4 linked regions of the Arabidopsis thaliana genome follow. The protein of the gene in region 1 binds, or shares a complex with, the protein of each later gene. Each region holds a gene or a part of one and is shown in the gene's direction. Other genes may lie near its edges.

Region 1 (4,939 bases):
AAGGGGTTTATTTGGAACACCTGTGACCATGTCATAACACCAGCCAAGAATGAAAGAGTATGCAGTATTTCATTCTCTGGATCAAGGCCCAACCTCGGTAAAACAGCTCCAGACATCTAAGGTAAAAATGAAAACTTTACAATTGTAATGTAACAACTCTATATTCAAAATGAGATACTGTATACCGAAACCAGATATGTACCTTCCAAAACCAAGGCAAGATCCCAAAGAACAAAATTGCAGAGTCCATAAGTATAGTTACAAACTCATGAACAAAGTGAAAATAGCTGCATATATTAAAGTTCTCAGTGATGATATCCCCTGGCAATTATAAAAAACTAAAATGATATAAATATGATCAAGACGAAACCTTTTGTCAAGACTGTATGCTCGTGATTTCTCAAACTTCTCTTGGCTAATTACACCAACCAAGGTTTTCGGGAGAGTTGGAAGCTTGAGAGCAGTGAGTTGCCTCAGATCCAAATACGTCTCAAAAATGTACATCACTATCATAAAACCTGTAAGAAAAAGAATAAAACAGAAGATGAAATACGAATCTACTCTAAATGCCACAACAACAGATACTCCATCACTGAAAATTCAATAACATCATCTACTTTTTTGATCAACCAGATATAAAAAGATCTCTTGTGCTGACTACTGATGGAAACATTGGAGCACTGAAAGAGTTTTGATGCAACATTCACATACGGTTCCACAACACAAAACCCATTTCAAAAAACTCCAGAAAACTCTAGTTGCAGTCACGAACATAATAATACCCTGACAAGAAAACCCAAAACCTCAAGCTGTATGACTTGAACAAAGAAAAATTTCAAGATTCTCAATTTCCAATCGGGAATGAGGAAAAAAAAGACTCCGACTTTTCTTCCCAAATCCTAGATTTTGGTTAACAGAGAAGCTCCGTACATTCTAAAACCGAGGAAGAGATGATGAAATCACATAAGCTCAAATCAAATCAAACGCACGAGTAAGACAAGAAACTAGTAGGAGTAATAAAACCTCAGATCAAGGTACGCACTATTAGAAAAGAACAAAATTTAGAAACGAGAAGCAGAGACGATGGTATATGAAACAAACGAGTCATGGAATCTCAACACACACAACACAGAAAGCAAAACCCAAACAAAAACGAAATACGATGAGTGAAACAGGATAGTAAAATGTCTCAGAAAAAGGTTTTGAAGCTTACCCACGACGGTTTCCATGAAAGGAATCGCCATGGCTGAGAAAAGAGTGACCTGAACCGCGATGAAAGCAGAAGCAAATCGAAGAAAGCAGAAGCAAATCGAAGAAAGCAGAGGAACGACAAAAGAGAGGTTTTTCGTTTTTGACTCTTCTCAGGTCGGTGTGGATATGTAAAACAACAAAAACACGGGTACGGGTTATACCTTAGAAGCCCAAATAGTAAACGGGCTGAGATTTAGGCCCATATGAAACAACCCCTATATTTTATCTAAAATCTCTAAGTATAATAGTATATTATCAAATATTGGGGCCTTAGTTGAAATATTATGTTTTAAAGGGGCTAAACGGAAAACTCCTTATCCTCAAACTGTCAACAAATTACGAAGGTGCCATTGGGTTTAATCAACAACGAACGCCGAGAGCTCTCACTTCACACTTTATCCACTTGGAGCTTCGACAATGGCGTCTCCTTCGCTTCTGCAGTCTTCCGCTTCTTCGTTTCACGGACGTTTCTCACCATTAGCGGCTCCATCCTCCGCACGAATGCTCTCTCCGCCGCTCAGAAACGTGGTGAAAGTCTCGGCGTCTGGAACTGTACTGGTCGAGAAATCTGAAGCCGAGAAAACTCAACGCCTCAAAACCGCTTACCTCGAGAGGATTATCCCTGCGCTCAAAGAAGAGTTCAAGTACGTTAATATTCACCAGGTAACCCCAAATCCTTCCCCTCTGAGCTCAAACCTAGTTTTTGTTCTGTTGCGATTGATTGAAGTCTAATTCTCAGTGAATTCGAATTTTTTGAGCGAATGTTAAACCTAATTTGCTTTTAATGATAAGTTTGAATTGATTTCTTCTAGAAAATGTAGTGAAGAAGCCTAGATTTAAGATTGTTGTGTTGATAAAATCGTGCTGTTGGGATGTGCCATTTACAAATGTGAATGTGAATTTGTCAATCTCATCATTGTTGTATATCTGCTTGGACATCTTCTCTACCAGGTTCCAAAGGTACAGAAGATTGTAGTGAATTGTGGTATTGGAGATGCGGCGCAGAACGACAAGGGTTTGGAGGCTGCGATGAAGGATATCGCGCTTATCACAGGGCAGAAACCTATTAAGACACGAGCTAGAGCTTCCATTGCTACTTTCAAGATCAGGGAAGATCAACCTCTTGGGATTGCTGTCACTCTCAGAGGAGATGTGAGCTATATTTCTCTTGACTAATCAAACTTTCCTTTTGAGTTATTTATGTATTAACATTTTGTGATTTTGACTGTTGTGACAGGTAATGTACTCCTTCTTGGATCGTCTTATCAACTTAGCCCTTCCGAGAACTCGAGATTTCCAAGGTGTGAGTCCCAGTAGCTTTGATGGGAACGGAAACTACAGTATTGGTGTGAAAGACCAAGGTGTATTCCCTGAAATCAGGTTAGTTCTATTGTATCTACCCTCAAAATCAAAACTACTAACTTGTTATCCGCTGGTTCAACAAGATCAAGCATGGTTTCTCTTTAGTCCCACTCTTTGTTTACAACCGAGCAACTAAACTCTATGTTGGTTGGTTGGTTTATTACACTCTAGGTTTGATGCCGTTGGAAAAACGAGAGGAATGGATGTATGCATCAGCACAACGGCTAAAAGCGATCAAGAAGGACAGAAACTATTGGCTCTAATGGGAATGCCTTTCAGGGAAGGAGGTGGTGGCAGCACAGGCGCGATAGTGCGGAAGAAGAAACTAAAGTCTCATCACTTTGATGCTAAAGGAAAAGGAAAGAGATGATGAACATAGCTGCCTATTGTATGTATCGTCTTCTGTAACCAACCATTTCATGTTTCAGAAAAACCATCTCCTTTTGTAATGCTTTATGAGTCAATTTGAAAATAATATCAGGGATCTTGTTGTTATGGTAAAAATTTATCAAGGTTTTTCTGTAATTTATTGAAAGTTTTGTGGATTATACAAAATGTAGCGCGTGAGTGAACGTGAAAAGCTAGCGCGTGGATTTGTCAATTTTACCTTCCCCTTTGAGAGAAATCGCTCTTCTTTGTAAGACTTGGTTTCGATCTTCTCTTTTTCATCATCAATCGATCAAAACAAACAGCAACAGCAAAATTATCTTTCTGCAGATCGAAACCCTAATTGGTTTCTCCGTTCTCCTTTTGTTCTTCTAGAATCGGCGACTCTTACTTTTTTTTCTTTCTAATTATCCTTTTCTGATGGATTCTGGAATCCATGTAATTCCCCATTAGCGCTAAAAACCCTAGCTGTCGAAGACCTTAGATTACTGCAGAAATGTTATAATCTGTTTTCATCTTTTCCCGATTTGAGGTTTTTATTTATTTTGGTTGGGTGAGAGAATCCGATACGAGAGATTAAAGCCTTGTGAGTTTAGGATGAGCTAGTTTTCTTTGGCTTTGAGCTGTAATTTCTCTTCTCTGAAATCTTTCACTGTACATATAGCTAGATCCTGATGAAGTTGCGTGGTGGTGAATCGTGGTTTAAGTTTTGCTAGTTGAGATATTATTGGTGGTTACTGTAATATCGAAGAATCATATTTCACGGTATTTACTATAGACAACTACTGTAGAGTTACTTGATTAAGGCGTTAAGAAGAGATACTGGTGTTTTTTGGCCTCAATCAGCTAAGATTTTTGTGCATTGTATGATGAGTATAGCAAATGAACAACAATTTGCCATGGATCAACTTGTCGAAACCAATGATGATTCGGAAAAGTATGTTTTTTCTGTTTTTTGTAAAATCCATGTCTCTGTTTTGCTGCTTATTGTACATTTCTCAGCTGCAGTTGCAATTGTTTTCAGGAAACCAAGAATTACATACACGAGGAAGTTTCTTATATCCTTGAGCGAGAAAGACGTTTGCAAGAAGCTGCCAAATCTGCCTGGTGAATTTGATGAAGCACTGTTGCTGTGAGACTCTATCCGATAGTTTTTTTTTTAGTTTGGATTTCTAGAAACTGTGTAAATGTGTTTGATCATGTTGGAGTGACATGTCTTGATTTGTACACTCTTTATTTGAGTAGTGACTTCGAAGATCCTTCACCCGAGCGAGCAAGAATTTCAGGCGATTTTTCGTCGCATGGTTTCAGGCGGAATGACTATAGTTCATCGCCTCCCACCAGGGGGGAATTAGGTACTAACTCTCGAGGCACCCATGGAAGATGGGAAGGGCGCTCTGGTGGATGGAATGATAAAGATAGTGATTCACAGTCAGACCGGGACTCAGGTAGCCGGAGCTTACTCGTATCCTATTCTTTACATGCTGTATGATGACGTTACTACAGTAACAAGGTGGACTAGTATTCTGAATAGTTACCTTGTTGTTATATATGACCTATAAAATACTCCTACGAATTATGTCTTTCTGCAAAAAAGTGTTCATTATTATGATTTCAACTCTATCCATCTGGCTGTTCAATATGCGTAAATGTAGATTTCCACCTTTTTTTAACTAAAGTGAATGGCATGAAGTCTGCTTGTCTAGTGAACATGAAAAGAAGGTCTTTTCGAAAAATTCTGGAATTTGGGTGTATTATAGTTGATTTGGAACTGTGTATTTTGTTAGGAGAGCCTGGAAGGCGTTCTGGTATGCCATCTCGGAGGTCTTGGCAAGCACCTGAGCATGATGGACTTCTTGGGAAAGGTTCTTTCCCTAAGCCTTCTGGATTTGGTGCGGGAACATCTGCCCCTAGACCTCAATCTAATGACTCACATCAG
Region 2 (4,969 bases), on another chromosome or scaffold:
ACTATGAGCATCAAAATCATACTCAGAATCGAAAGTTCGAGACTTTAAATTCCGTTAAAACCCAAAATTATAACTTTAACAAATTTTTACAGTTCTATATACTTCAAATGAGAACTAAAATGGAAAAGGAGAATCATCGAGTACCTTAGATTACAACAGATGCTTTCGCTATCACAGAGCGTCTCGGGAGAGAAGAAAAAAATCGCTAGGGTTTTTGGGATTCAGAGGTAGGAGATGCAGAGATTATAATGGGCTGGATATATGTCTGTTTGGCCCATTAACTTTTCATTTTAGCCCGTTTAGCTAATTATGTCTTTTCTTTTACCAACTCTCTCTAATGATATTTAATTATGATTAAAAATTCCGACAAAGAGAATAATGTTTTATGTCATCAATGGCGTGTATCCGGCAGTTACCAAACACCGGTCCACTCACACCATTTTATTAATGGAATATTTCAATGGAGAATTGGTAATATGTTGTAGAATGAGATCATATTATTCGATTGTTTTCTTTTTTGATATACAAATGTTTTTTTGTTAGACTTAGCATTGTCTCTATCCTAATTTGAATAAGCATATGACTAGTCTTTTGAAAATTTCAGTAAAACGTTTTCCGCAAACTCATCACAAGTTAAGCAGAATCTGAACCGAAATCTAAATGATCAAGTGATATAACATGGAGATTAAATCACTATAAATCGTTATGTAATTTCTTTAAATGATTGCATATTGTGGGATTGAACTTGAAGTTATAGCGATTTTACGCTTTTGGTTCTAATCCAAACCTACTTTGCCACTACACACGGGTTTAATATAGTATTACTTGTGTGTATAATTTTATTTTATTTTGCAAACGAGAAGAAGCCAGAATCAAGTCGTTAACCCATGCCTTTCAATTACCCAATCACCTAAGATTTTTTTTTATATTACTTCCTTTGACAAGTTAATCCACTTCCAAATATACTATAAAGTTGCACATTGACAAGAGGTTTTAGCAGAAGCTAGAAGAAGAAAGGAGAAGAAGAAACAAAGAGAGAAGATGAAGAATGTTATGCTGATTATTGACGAGAGCAACGCAAGTTATGATTTACTCATTTGGGCACTTGAAAACCAAAAAGATACCATTGAGAGCTCCAAAGTTTATATCTTTGCAAAACAGCCACAAAATTCCTTTACTCCTCCTACCGTACTTTCTTCATCAGTCGGCTTTGCTCAAATTTTCTATCCATTTTCACCTAGTAAGTCATTTTATCGACTAATTTGTTGGGAGTTTTCAATAAATATCAAATTTTCTATCCATTTTCACCTAGTACTTTCTTTTGTTGAAAATTGATCAGTTTTTATGTGTGTTTTGCAGATTCAGAACTCATAAGATTGGCTCAAGAAAAGAATATGAAAATTGCTTTGGGTATATTAGAGAAAGCCAAGAAGATATGTTTAAATCATGGGGTAATAATCTATTGACTGAATCATTTAACTTGTTATTAATACAATATCATATATATATTTTTAAATACCAAAGTTTTAAAAGAAAAAAATGAAGTTCTTTTCATGACAACCATTTGTTGCAATATTTTAGTCTCATGATCTCATCATAATCATGTTGAAAACAGATCAAGGCAGAGACATTTACTGATGATGGAGACCCTAAAGATCTAATCCGCAAGATAATTCAAGAACGAAATATCAATTTAATAGTTACGAGCGATCAACAAAGTCTCAAAAAGTAAGAAACATCTTTTAATTTCAAAATATCAGTTAAAAAACTTAGTATTGATGGAAAAGTTGAGATAACAAACATCTTTTAATTAAATGCAGGTGTACACAAAATACAGATTGTTCTCTTCTTGTCGTGAAGAAAAGACTTCGCAAAGATTAAAGATTAAGGAAGTTACAAAATTCACCAATATATATAATTTTCTATGTGGTTAATTGAGATTGTGTAATGATTTGGGGTTGTAGTTTCAGGTGTTGATTTGGGGTTGTAGTTTGAACTTATAATTGTGTTATGTGTATAAATATTTGTGTTTATATATATCAAGTTAGTATAAATACTATAATTTCTTATCGTTTCTTTTATTGGCACTGGTGTCTTGATCATCCCGACTAATTCAGACATGAGCTTATCTGAAAACCCACTTTGGACACAAACGAATTGATACGAACGAGTAACGACTCTTTTATTGAAAACGAAAAGGCCTAAATTTGCTGTGAAAGGCCCAATAAACAATTAAGTGATTATGTAAGACGATGTCGTTTAACTCTTAAGTTTCTCAAGAAAGTTATCTCTCTCTATCTATCTTCCTCAACCTTATCCTTGAAGCTTTGTTTCATCTGTTGTTCCCTGTGACCATGGCTACTCCACTCTCAATCTCATCAAATCCTCTCACCTCCCGCCATTGTTACCGTCTCCACTTATCTTCTACTTCATTCAAGGTAATCTCTCATTCTTCTACAAATGTCAATTTTGAATGAATCCGTAAAATTGGAATTTGAAATGTGTACAGGGAAATGTAAGTGTTTTGGGGGCAAACCCAAGTCAGATTCTATCTCTGAAACTCAACCAAACCCTTAAAACGAGAAACCAACAGCAATTTGCGAGACCCCTTGTTGTGGTTAGCCAAACGGCGGCTACGTCGTCGGCAGTTGTAGCTCCGGAGAGATTCCGTTTGGATAATCTTGGACCACAGCCAGGTTCGAGGAAGAAGCAGAAGAGAAAAGGTAGAGGTATCTCTGCAGGACAAGGAGCAAGTTGTGGTTTTGGTATGAGAGGTCAGAAATCAAGATCGGGTCCTGGGATTATGAGAGGCTTTGAAGGTGGTCAAACTGCTCTTTATCGTCGTCTTCCCAAACTTAGAGGAATCGCTGGAGGTAAAGTTTTGTTTTTGTTTGGTATCCAAGTTTTGTGTAGCCCAAATGTTCGATGAAATGTCTCATCCAAAAGGCTCTGTTTAAATTTGGTGATGCTGCTTTCAGTTTTATTTAGTTAGGGCACATTTGTTTCATAGATTTAATATTGGGTAAGAGAGCCATGAATTGACAACTATGGATCAAGATTGTAGTTAGTGAATAGAGATATTTCATGGTTCGATTTTGCTAATTAGCTCAAACCAATAGAGATATATTTCTGATGCATCGTTGCGTTACTGTGTTCTTTAAACAGGTATGCGTTCAGGATTACCTAAATACTTACCGGTTAATATCAAAGACATAGAAACAGCTGGGTTTCAAGAGGGAGATGAAGTGTCATTGGAGACATTGAAGCAAAAGGGTTTGATTAATCCTTCAGGGAGAGAAAGGAAACTCCCTCTTAAGGTTAGTTTTCCAAACTTGTTGATCCTACTTCTTTCGATTGTGCTTTCGTCTTTTCTTTCTTTATTTAAACGTTTTGATTGGTCTTGGATTTCAGATTCTGGGTACAGGAGAACTAAGCATGAAGCTCACCTTCAAAGCTCGTGCCTTCTCAACACAAGCAAAAGAGAAGCTTGAAGCTTCAGGTTGTACACTCACTGTGTTGCCGGGAAGAAAGAAATGGGTTAAGCCATCTGTTGCAAAGAACCAAGCACGAGCAGATGAATACTTTGCCAAGAAGAGAGCTGCAGCAGCAGAAGCAGCAACTTCAGAGCCAGCAGCCTCTGCTTAAATTACTTCAGTTTCAAGCTCTTTTTAGTGTTGTAAAGCTGCAGAGAAGATAATTGTCTATGACAAATGTTAATTACAATTCCTTTGTCTTTTTGTATGGTGAAGAGATTTACATTTTGTTGTTTGAAGAGTCATTATCAAAAAGATATTTAAACGGTAATGAAATATTGAACATTTTGTTTCCCAATAGTAGAAACTTTTTTCAATCTCCAAAGAAATTTTACATAATAGGGTTTCATAAGTGGGGTTATTACTACAAGGTTTCCCCCATTTTATCATAAACTCCAAAGACCAAATTTCCAAACTGCAGAGCATCACGGTTCTTCTTCTTCATCATCATCATCAATGACAGTTCTTCTTCTAGAACGACGTCTCCGAGTTCCAGACACTTGTTCATCAGAAGATTGATTATTCTCCTCATCTCTAGGTGATGTTCCTGTATTACCTTCATAGCTCTCTCCCCAAAGACTTGCAGGTCTTGAAGATCTTCTTCTCCCACTTGTATGTGTCCTAGCTCTAGATGTACCAGACCAGCTACTACTCCTTGAGCCACTCGATTCTGGTCTAAACACGCGGATGAGAAAGTACACTGTAAGCAAGCGAGTATCAGCAAATAGAAACCCATCATCGTTACTTATTTCATCTCCTCCAAAAGAAGATTGGAGTGTGCTAAGTAAATCCCCTAAATCGCTCTGCCTTTCTAGCCTCCTCCAGCTTCTCTGTCTCTCTGGATCTGCTTCTGATGGCCTAACTCCTGGATGTAGAAGCCTTGCGTGCTTTCTCAGATCGGAATAGCTTCCACTGAAATCACAAGTCTCACAAGAACAGCTTCTATGTTTTGAGTTCATGAAACATCGAGCTGCTTTAACAACTACCCATTCTTTTATATGTCCACGACATAACGGACAAGTAAGCTTTTGTGGTTTGTTTTTTTCTTGATCTTCTTCTGTTGTTACAATTCCTTCTTCTTCTTCTTCTACTACTACTTCTTCTTCTTCTTCTTCTACTTCTTCTTCTCCTCTCTCACCATCACTTAAATCCACAACTGTTATCTCAGATGCAGCTTCTCCTAATAGATTTACAGCAGTTGAGTCTGAATCCACATCTTCCATCTCAGTTGGTTCATTACTTTCCTCTTCCTCACGAAGTAAAGACAAAGAAGGTTTCTCTTTAGAAGCTTTGCGGAACTGATCGAAACAGTTAGAATGCCGATGGCTAGTGTCGCACATGTAAGGTCGACAACCATTTTCATAAGAAGAACAAATGAGAAGAATCCCATTGTGAGGATGTTCCATACAAACAGGACAACGAGCCTCTTCCCATTC
Region 3 (5,646 bases), on another chromosome or scaffold:
CCCTTTTTATCTCCCACCACAAAATTCCCATTAAAGGTCTCAATTTCTCCATCAAGATCGAAACTTTTCCACAACCCTTTACGCGTGGCGGCGCCGCCGTCTGTACCCACTTCGGATTCGACGGAGGAGAAGCGGATCGAAGAAGAATACGGCGGAGATAAGGAAGAAGAAGGGTCTGAGTTTAAGTGGAGAGATCATTGGTATCCAGTTTCTTTGGTTGAGGATTTGGATCCGAATGTGCCAACCCCGTTCCAGCTCTTGGGTCGAGACCTTGTACTCTGGTTTGATCGGAATGATCAGAAATGGGCAGCCTTTGATGATCTCTGCCCTCACCGGCTCGCTCCTTTATCTGTAATCTCTCTCTCTTGGAAGAAACAGTTCAAGTAGTTTATAACTGTGATTTGGATTTGGATTAGAAGAATAAATTATTGTAGATGATTGTTTATTGTAAAGTTTTGATTTTTAAAGTATATCAATTAGGTTAAAAGCTTCAAAGAATAAAATATTAGGGTCAGAATCAGAACAGTTTTGTGTTGTTGTTATTGTTATGACTTATGAGCAAAAAGAAGTAAACTTTGTTGTGTATGTAACCAAAGTTTTGAGCTTGACTCATTGATGTGTTTGTGTATGTGTTGATGCATTGTGGTTATGTAGGAAGGAAGGTTGGATGAGAATGGACACTTGCAATGTTCGTATCATGGATGGTCATTTGGTGGGTGTGGATCTTGCACTAGGATTCCTCAGGCTGCTACTTCAGGTCCTGAAGCTCGTGCTGTTAAATCCCCGAGAGCTTGTGCTATTAAGTTCCCGACAATGGTGTCTCAAGGTCTTCTCTTTGTGTGGCCTGATGAAAATGGTTGGGATAGAGCCAATTCAATTGAACCCCCTAGGTAACGAAAATGATTATCTTCTCAGGCTTCCATGAACATAGCATACTCGTTTTATTACTCGTTTTATTAAATGCGTTGATCTTTAACATAAAAGGTTGCCGGATGATTTCGATAAACCGGAATTTTCGACGGTGACAATTCAAAGGGATCTTTTCTATGGATATGATACTCTCATGGAAAATGTATCTGATCCTTCCCATATAGATTTTGCTCATCACAAGGTGTTGTTTTCTTTCTCAAAGCTCCCAATGTGTTTGCATTTCCACTAAGGGATATTATCCTCAGGCGATGATTACGTGTTGTAAACAGGTTACAGGAAGAAGAGACAGAGCCAAACCATTGCCGTTCAAGGTGGAGTCAAGTGGGCCTTGGGGTTTCCAAGGTGCGAATGATGACAGTCCAAGGATAACCGCAAAATTTGTTGCTCCGTGCTATTCTATGAACAAGTGAGTGTTGAGTTTGCTCACTATACATAATAAATGGTTAGCATACAGTTGCATAGAATGAAATTGTGTATCCTTGTCTACAGAATTGAGTTAGATGCGAAACTACCAATCGTCGGTAATCAAAAATGGGTCATTTGGATTTGCTCATTCAATATACCAATGGCTCCAGGAAAGACCCGTTCCATCGTTTGCAGCGCCCGTAACTTCTTTCAGTTCTCTGTACCAGGACCAGCTTGGTGGCAGGTAAAACAAACTTTGATTCCATCTCTAATCCGATTTTACTACGTAAATTCTTCTGAAGCTGTTCCTTGTTAGGTTGTACCAAGATGGTATGAACACTGGACTTCGAACTTAGTCTATGACGGAGACATGATCGTACTTCAAGGACAAGAGAAAGTATTCCTCGCTAAATCAATGGAGTCACCAGACTACGACGTGAACAAACAGTACACAAAGCTCACATTCACTCCAACCCAGGCAGACCGTTTTGTTCTAGCATTCAGAAACTGGCTCAGACGGCATGGTAAGAGTCAGCCTGAATGGTTCGGCTCCACCCCGTCTAACCAACCTCTCCCTTCCACTGTCTTAACCAAGCGTCAGGTGAGCCATCAATCATGCATCCTAACATCATTTGATTGATCTCTATATATATACAAACACATGTCTGAAAACGTGACAAATTTGAACAAACAGATGCTAGATAGATTTGATCAGCATACACAAGTATGCTCTTCCTGCAAAGGAGCTTACAACAGTTTCCAAATCCTCAAGAAGTTTCTCGTTGGCGCGACGGTTTTCTGGGCCGCCACGGCTGGTGTTCCTTCTGATGTTCAGATTCGACTGGTTCTTGCTGGTTTATCACTGATATCAGCTGCTTCTGCATATGCTTTACATGAACAAGAGAAGAACTTTGTGTTTAGAGATTATGTACATTCTGAAATCGAGTAGATTTGTTGTGTATATGTATAATCATCATACAAAGTACAAACATTGTAAATCAAAATCCAGAGGAACTTTTAGCACTATAAAACCGATTTAACCGTTAAATTTTGGGTACTCAATTGAACTTTATAAAACTTTTAAGTAAGAAAACAGAAAAGTAGAATAATTACGGGGTCAAATTCGAAACATAAGAAAAACATTCGTCACTTCACTTGAGCAAGCACACGAAAAGCCGATAAGAAGATAACAATTACTACAACTGTGCGCTCTTGTTATCTCTGCTTTGAAGTGAAATCAGCTTTGGCTATGGCTTCTTCGACAGCTTTGTCTCTCTCATGGAGCTCCTCTCCTTGTTGGTCACACAGCTTCAATGGCGGTGCAAATGAAACCCTAAAAGTATCTGAGCGAAGGTTCAATTTTGAAGTTGTTTCCCAGAAGAAAGCTAAGAAACTTCGCAAGGTAAAAGTCATTACCTTTCATGGGTTTCCTTCAAAAATTTGATTTGGCTTTTAGTTAGTTTTTGATTTGAGCTTGTGTTTCTGAAGAATTTTGGTGGAGATGAAAGTAAAAGACTTGAAGATGCTTAATTTATGGGTTTAGTGTAAAAACATCGTCTTTGTTCTTGTATCAGCGTAGTTAGGAAGAAAGATGAATCAACATTAGAAAAGTAGACGCCTTTATATTACCAGTTTAGTTTCAAGTAGTGAAGATAAATTGGTTTGAAGCTTTGTTTCTGTGTAGAGAAATGGAGTAAGTGAAACACTAATGGTAAATCTTGTTTTGTGTCTTTAAGGTAATTTTGAAAGAGGATGTGACGGATTTGGGTAAGCAAGGGCAATTACTTGATGTGAAAGCTGGATTTTTCAGAAACTTCCTCTTGCCTACTGGAAAGGCTCAGCTTATGACTCCACTTCTGCTCAAGTAATTCACCTCAACTTCGAAATTTCCGTTCGCTTTTGTATGCTCTTACTATTCGGTTCTAAGGCCTTTGTATTTCGAGGGACTTTGCTACAATGTTGTAAGATCAACAAGAAAAACATCATTTTCTTTCTTTTTGTGTGTGTGTTTTTCCCCCAGGGAATTGAAGATGGAAGACGAACGGATTGAGGCAGAGAAGCAAAGGGTAATCTGATATGAATACATTGATTGTTTTTATTTGATCATCATGTAAAGTTTTGGTGTTTGAGTGATCACCAAAAAACTCTTTGGTTATTGATTTTCATCTGTTTGTTGGTTTTTTCTTTGCGTGGAACCTTTTTTGCAGGTGAAAGAAGAGGCACAACAACTGGCGATGGTATTCCAAACCGTTGGTGCTTTCAAGGTTAAACGCAAAGGCGGTAAAGGCAAACTGATATTTGGATCGTAAGTCCTACTTAAGCAAATCTAGATTTTAACAGTCTTGAGAATAGTGTTTAGCCTGTACTTAACTTTATATTTTCCTGCAGTGTCACAGCTCAAGACCTCGTCGACATCATCAAATCACAGCTCCAAAAGTAACAACATAGAAAATTTTACATTTCCACATAAAAAGCTACAAGCTTTCTCATGTGGGCGGTTTAGTTGGATCAGTCTACATTTGGTTTTTAGTGTTGTTCGAAGAACCTAATATGGTTTTATCTGCTTCTCTGTGGCTGTGTTTTGCAGGGACATCGACAAACGCCTTGTCTCTCTCCCAGAAATCCGTGAAACCGGAGAATACATAGCCGAACTCAAGCTTCACCCCGATGTCACTGCTCGAGTTAAGATCAATGTTTTCGCTAACTAAACCTTCAACGATTCAAGACTCCTACTGCATCCCAAGGTATTTCTTGATTTTCCATGATCATGTGGCTTTTAACCATAAATGAAACTAAGTATTAGTTTTGTCTTAGTTCGTGTCTTAATTGGCATGAAATAAGTAGTTAAACCGATGTTCTGAACTCTGAACATCGGCATATAAACATTGGTCGGGAATATTGGCTGTTGAACGGAGTTTTGCGTTTTAAGGTCTAGCCGCAAACGCAGATGCTAATTGTCCATCGCACTGTGTTTGGTGTTTTGAACTTGCAGGAACGTATAGAGAGGGAAAAGAGAGTAGCCTCTTGTGGTGAGGATTGAAGGTTGTGAAGTTTTTCCTTTAGATTGTTTGATGCATTTGTATTTTTGCTATTTTTGGAATCTGGAAACGCTAAAAGTATAATATTCTCTTGCAAGTTATGATATTTACTTGAAGTTATATTGTATTCATTTGTCTGTTGAAGTGATGAGAATGCTTAAATTAACACTAACAAGCTGTTTAAAAAACTAACAAATAACCAGAAATCTGAAAAACTATGTCGCCGTCTCTTGTTCCCACAAGATTGACTATTTTTAGAGAGTTGTTGTTTAATGACAAAACCCAGATGTTTTTTTGTTTCACTGCTTCTCTTCAATTCTGTTACCAAAACCTTTTTTGTTTAAGACAGTTATAGCTCTTGATTCGGTTTTTATAATCATATGATTCTCTTGTTTCTATCATCTTTGTTCTTGTTAACAAGTTTTGTCCAATGGAGTTTAATGGTGATAGGATCCCTTACCTGAGAGATACATGGAGAGATGCAAACATGATCTGCGGTATCTTGCCTATTAACCCGAGCTCGAGCGGGCTATGGCCCTCCCCGAAGCTCCCAGATCCTCAAGCAAACATTGAGTTCTGGAATTACATGTTTCCACATGTTCAGATCATTTTCCTTATCGTCACTATTCTCTGGCAATTCTTCCATTTCTTCCTCAGACGTCTCGGCATGATTCGTTTCACCTCCCATATGCTTGTAAGAACTTTACTCAATTCTTGAATCTTCAAATCTCTCTTCCTCTTTGTTTGCATTGCTTATGTTTGATATTCTGTGTGGTTTTGCCAGACTGGGATTCTCTTGAGCAAGTCGTTTCTTAAGGAGAATACACCGGCTAGGAAATTCCTCTCGACGGAAGACTATAAAGAGACTCTGTTTGGTTTAGTGGGTGCATGTTCCTACATGATGTTTTGGTTCTTGATGGGAGTTAAAATGGACTTGAGTTTGATCCGCAGCACCGGGAGAAAAGCTGTAGCTATCGGTCTTTCCTCAGTGTTACTCTCTATAACGGTTTGCGCCTTGATCTTCTTCTTGATCCTAAGAGATGTAGGGACGAAAAAGGGAGAACCGGTTATGAGTTTCTTTGAAATCATTTTCATCTATTTGATCCAATGCCTTTCGTCGTTTCCTGTAATTGGAAACCTTCTTTTTGAGCTTAGGCTCCAGAATTCAGAGCTTGGCCGTCTCGCTATGTCTTCTGCAGTGATCAGTGACTTCAGCACCTCGATCCTCTCTGCGGTTCTAGTCTTTCTAAAGGAACTCAAGGACGATAAATCT
Region 4 (4,439 bases), on another chromosome or scaffold:
TAGTTGAAAATACGTTATAAGTCTTTATTCCAATATTCATGACAAGTAGTTATTCCTTTTGTATTCTTAGGAGTTATGTCATTTACTCTATATTGACACAACGTTACTTTGTAGTCAGATAAATATTTATGCAACGTAACCGATATTTCTATTGAAAACTGTTAACATTTTTTAACATGAAATTATTATACATTTCTATTAAATAATAATCGATCGTTTTTCATAAAGGAAAAGCTTGTTTTACGTATCTTTTAAAATTTTCTAGATAATATATAAATATTTCCGACCAAGATCAATTTCCTTTAATTAAGGTCCGAAATAAAAATATTGATAAACAAAAAAAGTATCCAAAAGATTCCTGGTATATTCATTTAGCTGGCATGGCTAGTGCAGTACAAAATACAAACTCTAATTCCAAGAAAACAAAATAACGCAATAATGCAAAGTGCAAACGGACGAGAGCAATCGATTCATATATGGTTCTCTTCTCGATGTAATGCAATCACATGACTAAAACTGGCTCAAATTAGGCCTTTATACAAGACACTTACCTGTAAATAGACTAATATTTGTTTATATAAAACCATCAAATAATATTGTAAACAAATATATATATATATATGTATGTATGTGTTATATATATGTATGTATGTGTTATATCGTGTATAACTATTTAATTTGTTTAATTCACTTGTTCGATTGTATCTTCTTCTTAAACTTAAATCATCTTTTGGTTATATGTGTGTGTCTAATAACTATGTAATCTTTCTTTCAATTCTAATAAAATAAAACAAGATGTTAAAAAAAAAAAAACTATTTAACTATCCATGGTTGATGACTCGTACTTAAGACAAATAATCAAATTTCGTGATTCTAAAAATGAATGAAATTGATTGATATATAAGTGGGATTAGAAAAAAAAGAGTCAGATAAGTGTTATCTCGCGGTTATAATTTCAACGGTGCTAAGATAAGGATAAGGTTTGCGAAACTATATACTAATGCAACAATGGGTACCGTAGGTTTGTGATACCTAATTTGATCTAACCAACAGAATCTCTTCGTACTAGTGTAATCGAGTGGCTGAGCTGTTGATATAGAGATACGTAGTACTATTATTGTAAATAAAGAACCCAAAGAATCAAATTTGTCGACAACAAAATAAGGGGTGATAATCCGATGCACGTGGATTTGGTGAATGTATTGGATAATGCTAGTCACGTAGAAGAAAGTAATCTTATTTTGGGCCATAATTTTAGTAAATGTTTTTGAGTCTACGTAAAGAAGAGTAATTTTCATGGCAATCGCAATTTTCGCTGACAATTGATTATTTTGATATAATGTGAAATTGGTTAGGTTGGTGATAGTAGCTAGTTTGAAGCCTAACTTAGGCTTGTTATTGAGGTATAATACATTATTAACCATAAGTATTAGACAGGTTTTGGACAAATATATTTATTGGTCGCTTTGGCAGCATTGAAAAACCCTAAAAGCCACTAGAATGGATGTCTTCGAATGTCAGTTCACATAAATGTTCGCTAGCTTAATTTTATTTTCTTTTTTAAAAGAGAGGAAGCAATGATAACATAAACATTTTTATAGTGTTTTTTTTGAAACAAAAAGTTAGTTTTCTTCCTCAAATTCGATAACTAAATTACACCATAAATGAGAATATGTTTTTAGTTAAGTAGTTAAATCCATTTGATTCTACCTTTTTTACCAGAGTTTGACTCTACTAAGTCGTGTTACTTCGCATAATAAGGATTGACTATGAATCGTGTCTTGTTTATAAAAAAAAGAAAAAAAAAATTACACAACAAAGTTAAGAAAATTCAAATTTATTAATTTAATAAGCATACTTTGAATATAAATAAATCCTAAAACTCAAACTAATAAAAAAAGTATTTTTTTGTGTAGTATTAAAAGATGCAGAATCCGAAATAATGTATTTTATTGTAGAAGTGATTCAAAAGACCTTATCTCGTAGTCACTTGTAGCATTATTGGTTTAAGGTTAAAGAAAACATTTAAAACTCTGTATACATCATACATGACATCTTTACAAATTGCAAAATATACATTTTTAATCAGCTACTCTATTCTTAAATTCCTTTAATTAACGAGGTTATACAGTTCGATACGTTTAAGCAACAAAAAGTTCGATGCCACTAATAATTTAATTTTTGTTCTCTTCTTATCTTATAGATTGTTGCAGCCTGCAGGCTTGCAGCATAACGAGTTACATAACTATATACAAAGGCCCAATAGACACCTCAAAGGCCCAATAAAAAAGCCCAGGAAAAACGAAAACGAAGATATGAAGTTCTTCTCTAATCCGAAGCAAGAGGCTCAAACTCACTTTCACTTGCACAAAGATAAGGAAACCATGTCTGTGTCAGCGATCTTTGGTACCGGAATCGTCACCGTTGCTGCTTCTCCGGTTCTCCGCCAATTTCAAGTTCCAAAATTGGGTAATGGAGGAGGATTAGGGATGGTGATAGAGTGTTCGTCGAGGCCACAGAAGAAATCGACGGCTCATCACAGGAAGACGAGGCCGAAGAAGACTCAGCCTTGGGACATTAAGAGAAAGCCTACTGTTTACGCTCCTCTTCCTCCTCTTCCGGCGGAATGGAGTCCGTTCACTCTCGCTTCTGACGACGGTGGTGCTGCCACTGCTGCGGGAGATTTGGTTTCAGGCGCTGCCTAGTTGGTATGAGTTATCTGCTGATTTGGTTGTAATCTAGTTTGAGAACTTTTGTTGTTGTTTACTGTGTTTTCAGTTTTCTGATGTTTGTTGTTGGGTTTGTTTGTGTTTGATTGGTGAATGAATGGACCAAATTTGCGATTTATAAAGCTTCAACCTTTCTCCTCTGTTTTTGAGTTTAAAGGTCTCAACTTTATAGTTTATAGCTCTCGTCATTGTCATCTATGTTGCTTCTCTATAATTGCTTTTTTCCTTTTGGGTCTCATTAATTTCTGCAAGTAGTAATTGAATTGGGATGACAAGAGTTTAAGTTTGATATGTGAAAATGAAAGCACAATGGTATCTGTTTTGTGGCGGTTGATGCTGGAGTTGTTGTCAAATGCTCTGTTTGCTGCCATAGCAATGGGAATGTAGCTTCTAAAGAGTACGGTATAGTATACCGCATTATTGGAATTTTAAAATTTCCCTTTAGATTGGATTCAGGTGAAACGGCAATGTGCTCTGCTCACCATAGTGCAACACTTGGTCTAAACACTCTATTGTAGATTTTTAAGCCAAGTGATCTAAAGTGTGTTTGATGAAGAGTTTCAGCAAAAACATTTTTAGAAATGTTTATATCAGTTATGGGTTGATCACTCTGATTCTTGAATCTATCTTGTATCGGTCTAGTCCCAGGAGAAATTTAGAAGATCGATTTATCTTGCATTGCATGTTTATGGAGTCAATTCCAAGATCAACATCAATGGCTATACATTTCATAAAGCACGCATACAGAGTACATCCCGTTGAACCCATTAAACCCTGACACCTTAAAAGCTTAAGTCAAATCATCTGGAGAAATACACAATGAAGATACAAATACAGAGAGTTCGAAAGAATAAATAGTGTGAAAACAGAGGCAATCTATGAGTTTAACACAAAAGAGTGGAACCAAAACCAGTTTTTTGGGAAGAATGAGCTTCACTTGGGATGTTAGTGCTAGAGTTTTCAATGTAAGTCTGCCACTGGCCCTTTGGAGATTCATTACCTTTTGCTTGATCCTTGAAACAACCATTAGCACTTGGAGTTTTGTTGATTTTTACTTTACCTTTTACATCATCATTCCTTGGGGATGGAACTCTGTTCTCTTCAGGTTCAAACACAAAACTGAAACCGGATTTCAAAACTTCAAGCGTAGCTTCCCCACCAGTACCAGTTCTCACACTAAACTCAAGGGATGCTTTGGTCGGAGCACATTTAGGACCACCTTGGCCTTTAACAAGTTTTATGAAGTCTAAGCAGTTGGTGTAGCCAATAAAGACATGATCTGATTCAACTGTTTCTTCTTGGTTGTCTTGTTCAATCAAACTTCCAACCTTCCAAGTAATGCTGCTGGAAGAGCCCTCTCCGTTATTTTGCTCACAAGAGAACTTGACTATCAAGTTGGCATGACTTTTACAGTTCTTGAATGAGACAACAACACATAGGGCTATCCCAGAAAGCCTATTGTGATTCCAGTGAGGAGGTAATTCAAACTCCACCATAGATCCAATTGCATCGTGACTAAACCATGAAGGCATTTCACATCCAGGAAAGCTAGTGCAGAACAAAATCTCAGGAACACAACTCTGCAAAGTTATACAAAGGGGATATACCATTAACCTCAATTCCACTACGCAAAAGAAAACTCTCAAGGGAGAGGAATAGAGATACCTCATCGCATCGTTTAAGCGCACTAGCAAGCAAATGACACTTCCT

The links.
Region 2: AT4G01310 (region 1) and RPL15 share a complex: the UniProt entries of both Arabidopsis thaliana proteins name them as parts of the 50S ribosomal subunit.
Region 3: AT4G01310 (region 1) and RPL9 share a complex: the UniProt entries of both Arabidopsis thaliana proteins name them as parts of the 50S ribosomal subunit.
Region 4: AT4G01310 (region 1) and PSRP6 share a complex: the UniProt entries of both Arabidopsis thaliana proteins name them as parts of the 50S ribosomal subunit.

Annotation. Positions count from the first base shown.
Region 1 is NC_003075.7:542,210-547,148, reverse strand, and holds AT4G01310 (Ribosomal L5P family protein), read left to right. Parts: upstream 1-1,582; 5' UTR 1,583-1,668; coding exon 1,669-1,914; intron 1,915-2,202; coding exon 2,203-2,403; intron 2,404-2,488; coding exon 2,489-2,631; intron 2,632-2,784; coding exon 2,785-2,983; 3' UTR 2,984-3,238; downstream 3,239-4,939. Other genes in the region: ATSTE24 (Peptidase family M48 family protein), read right to left, coding at 21-116, 203-287, 371-518, 1,214-1,244; AT4G01290 (chorismate synthase), read left to right, coding at 3,867-3,937, 4,025-4,132, 4,246-4,448, 4,788-4,939. UniProt on the Arabidopsis thaliana protein: Binds 5S rRNA, forms part of the central protuberance of the 50S subunit.
Region 2 is NC_003074.8:9,489,944-9,494,912, reverse strand, and holds RPL15 (ribosomal protein L15), read left to right. Parts: upstream 1-2,257; 5' UTR 2,258-2,354; coding exon 2,355-2,438; intron 2,439-2,509; coding exon 2,510-2,873; intron 2,874-3,165; coding exon 3,166-3,317; intron 3,318-3,411; coding exon 3,412-3,645; 3' UTR 3,646-3,858; downstream 3,859-4,969. Other genes in the region: AT3G25930 (Adenine nucleotide alpha hydrolases-like superfamily protein), read left to right, coding at 1,042-1,240, 1,360-1,451, 1,616-1,728, 1,821-1,881; AT3G25910 (MAP kinase kinase kinase, putative (DUF1644)), read right to left, coding at 3,959-4,969.
Region 3 is NC_003074.8:16,383,921-16,389,566, forward strand, and holds RPL9 (ribosomal protein L9), read left to right. Parts: upstream 1-2,474; 5' UTR 2,475-2,584; coding exon 2,585-2,737; intron 2,738-3,071; coding exon 3,072-3,199; intron 3,200-3,355; coding exon 3,356-3,401; intron 3,402-3,542; coding exon 3,543-3,640; intron 3,641-3,723; coding exon 3,724-3,771; intron 3,772-3,922; coding exon 3,923-4,043; 3' UTR 4,044-4,079; intron 4,080-4,327; 3' UTR 4,328-4,803; downstream 4,804-5,646. Other genes in the region: ACD1 (Pheophorbide a oxygenase family protein with Rieske 2Fe-2S domain-containing protein), read left to right, coding at 1-351, 655-890, 985-1,111, 1,200-1,336, 1,420-1,579, 1,652-1,936, 2,030-2,284; CHX4 (cation/H+ exchanger 4), read left to right, coding at 4,804-5,067, 5,158-5,646. UniProt on the Arabidopsis thaliana protein: Binds to the 23S rRNA.
Region 4 is NC_003076.8:5,905,433-5,909,871, forward strand, and holds PSRP6 (plastid-specific 50S ribosomal protein 6), read left to right. Parts: upstream 1-2,156; 5' UTR 2,157-2,315; coding exon 2,316-2,705; 3' UTR 2,706-3,032; downstream 3,033-4,439. Other genes in the region: CSA1 (disease resistance protein (TIR-NBS-LRR class)), read right to left, coding at 3,442-3,503, 3,640-4,309, 4,395-4,439.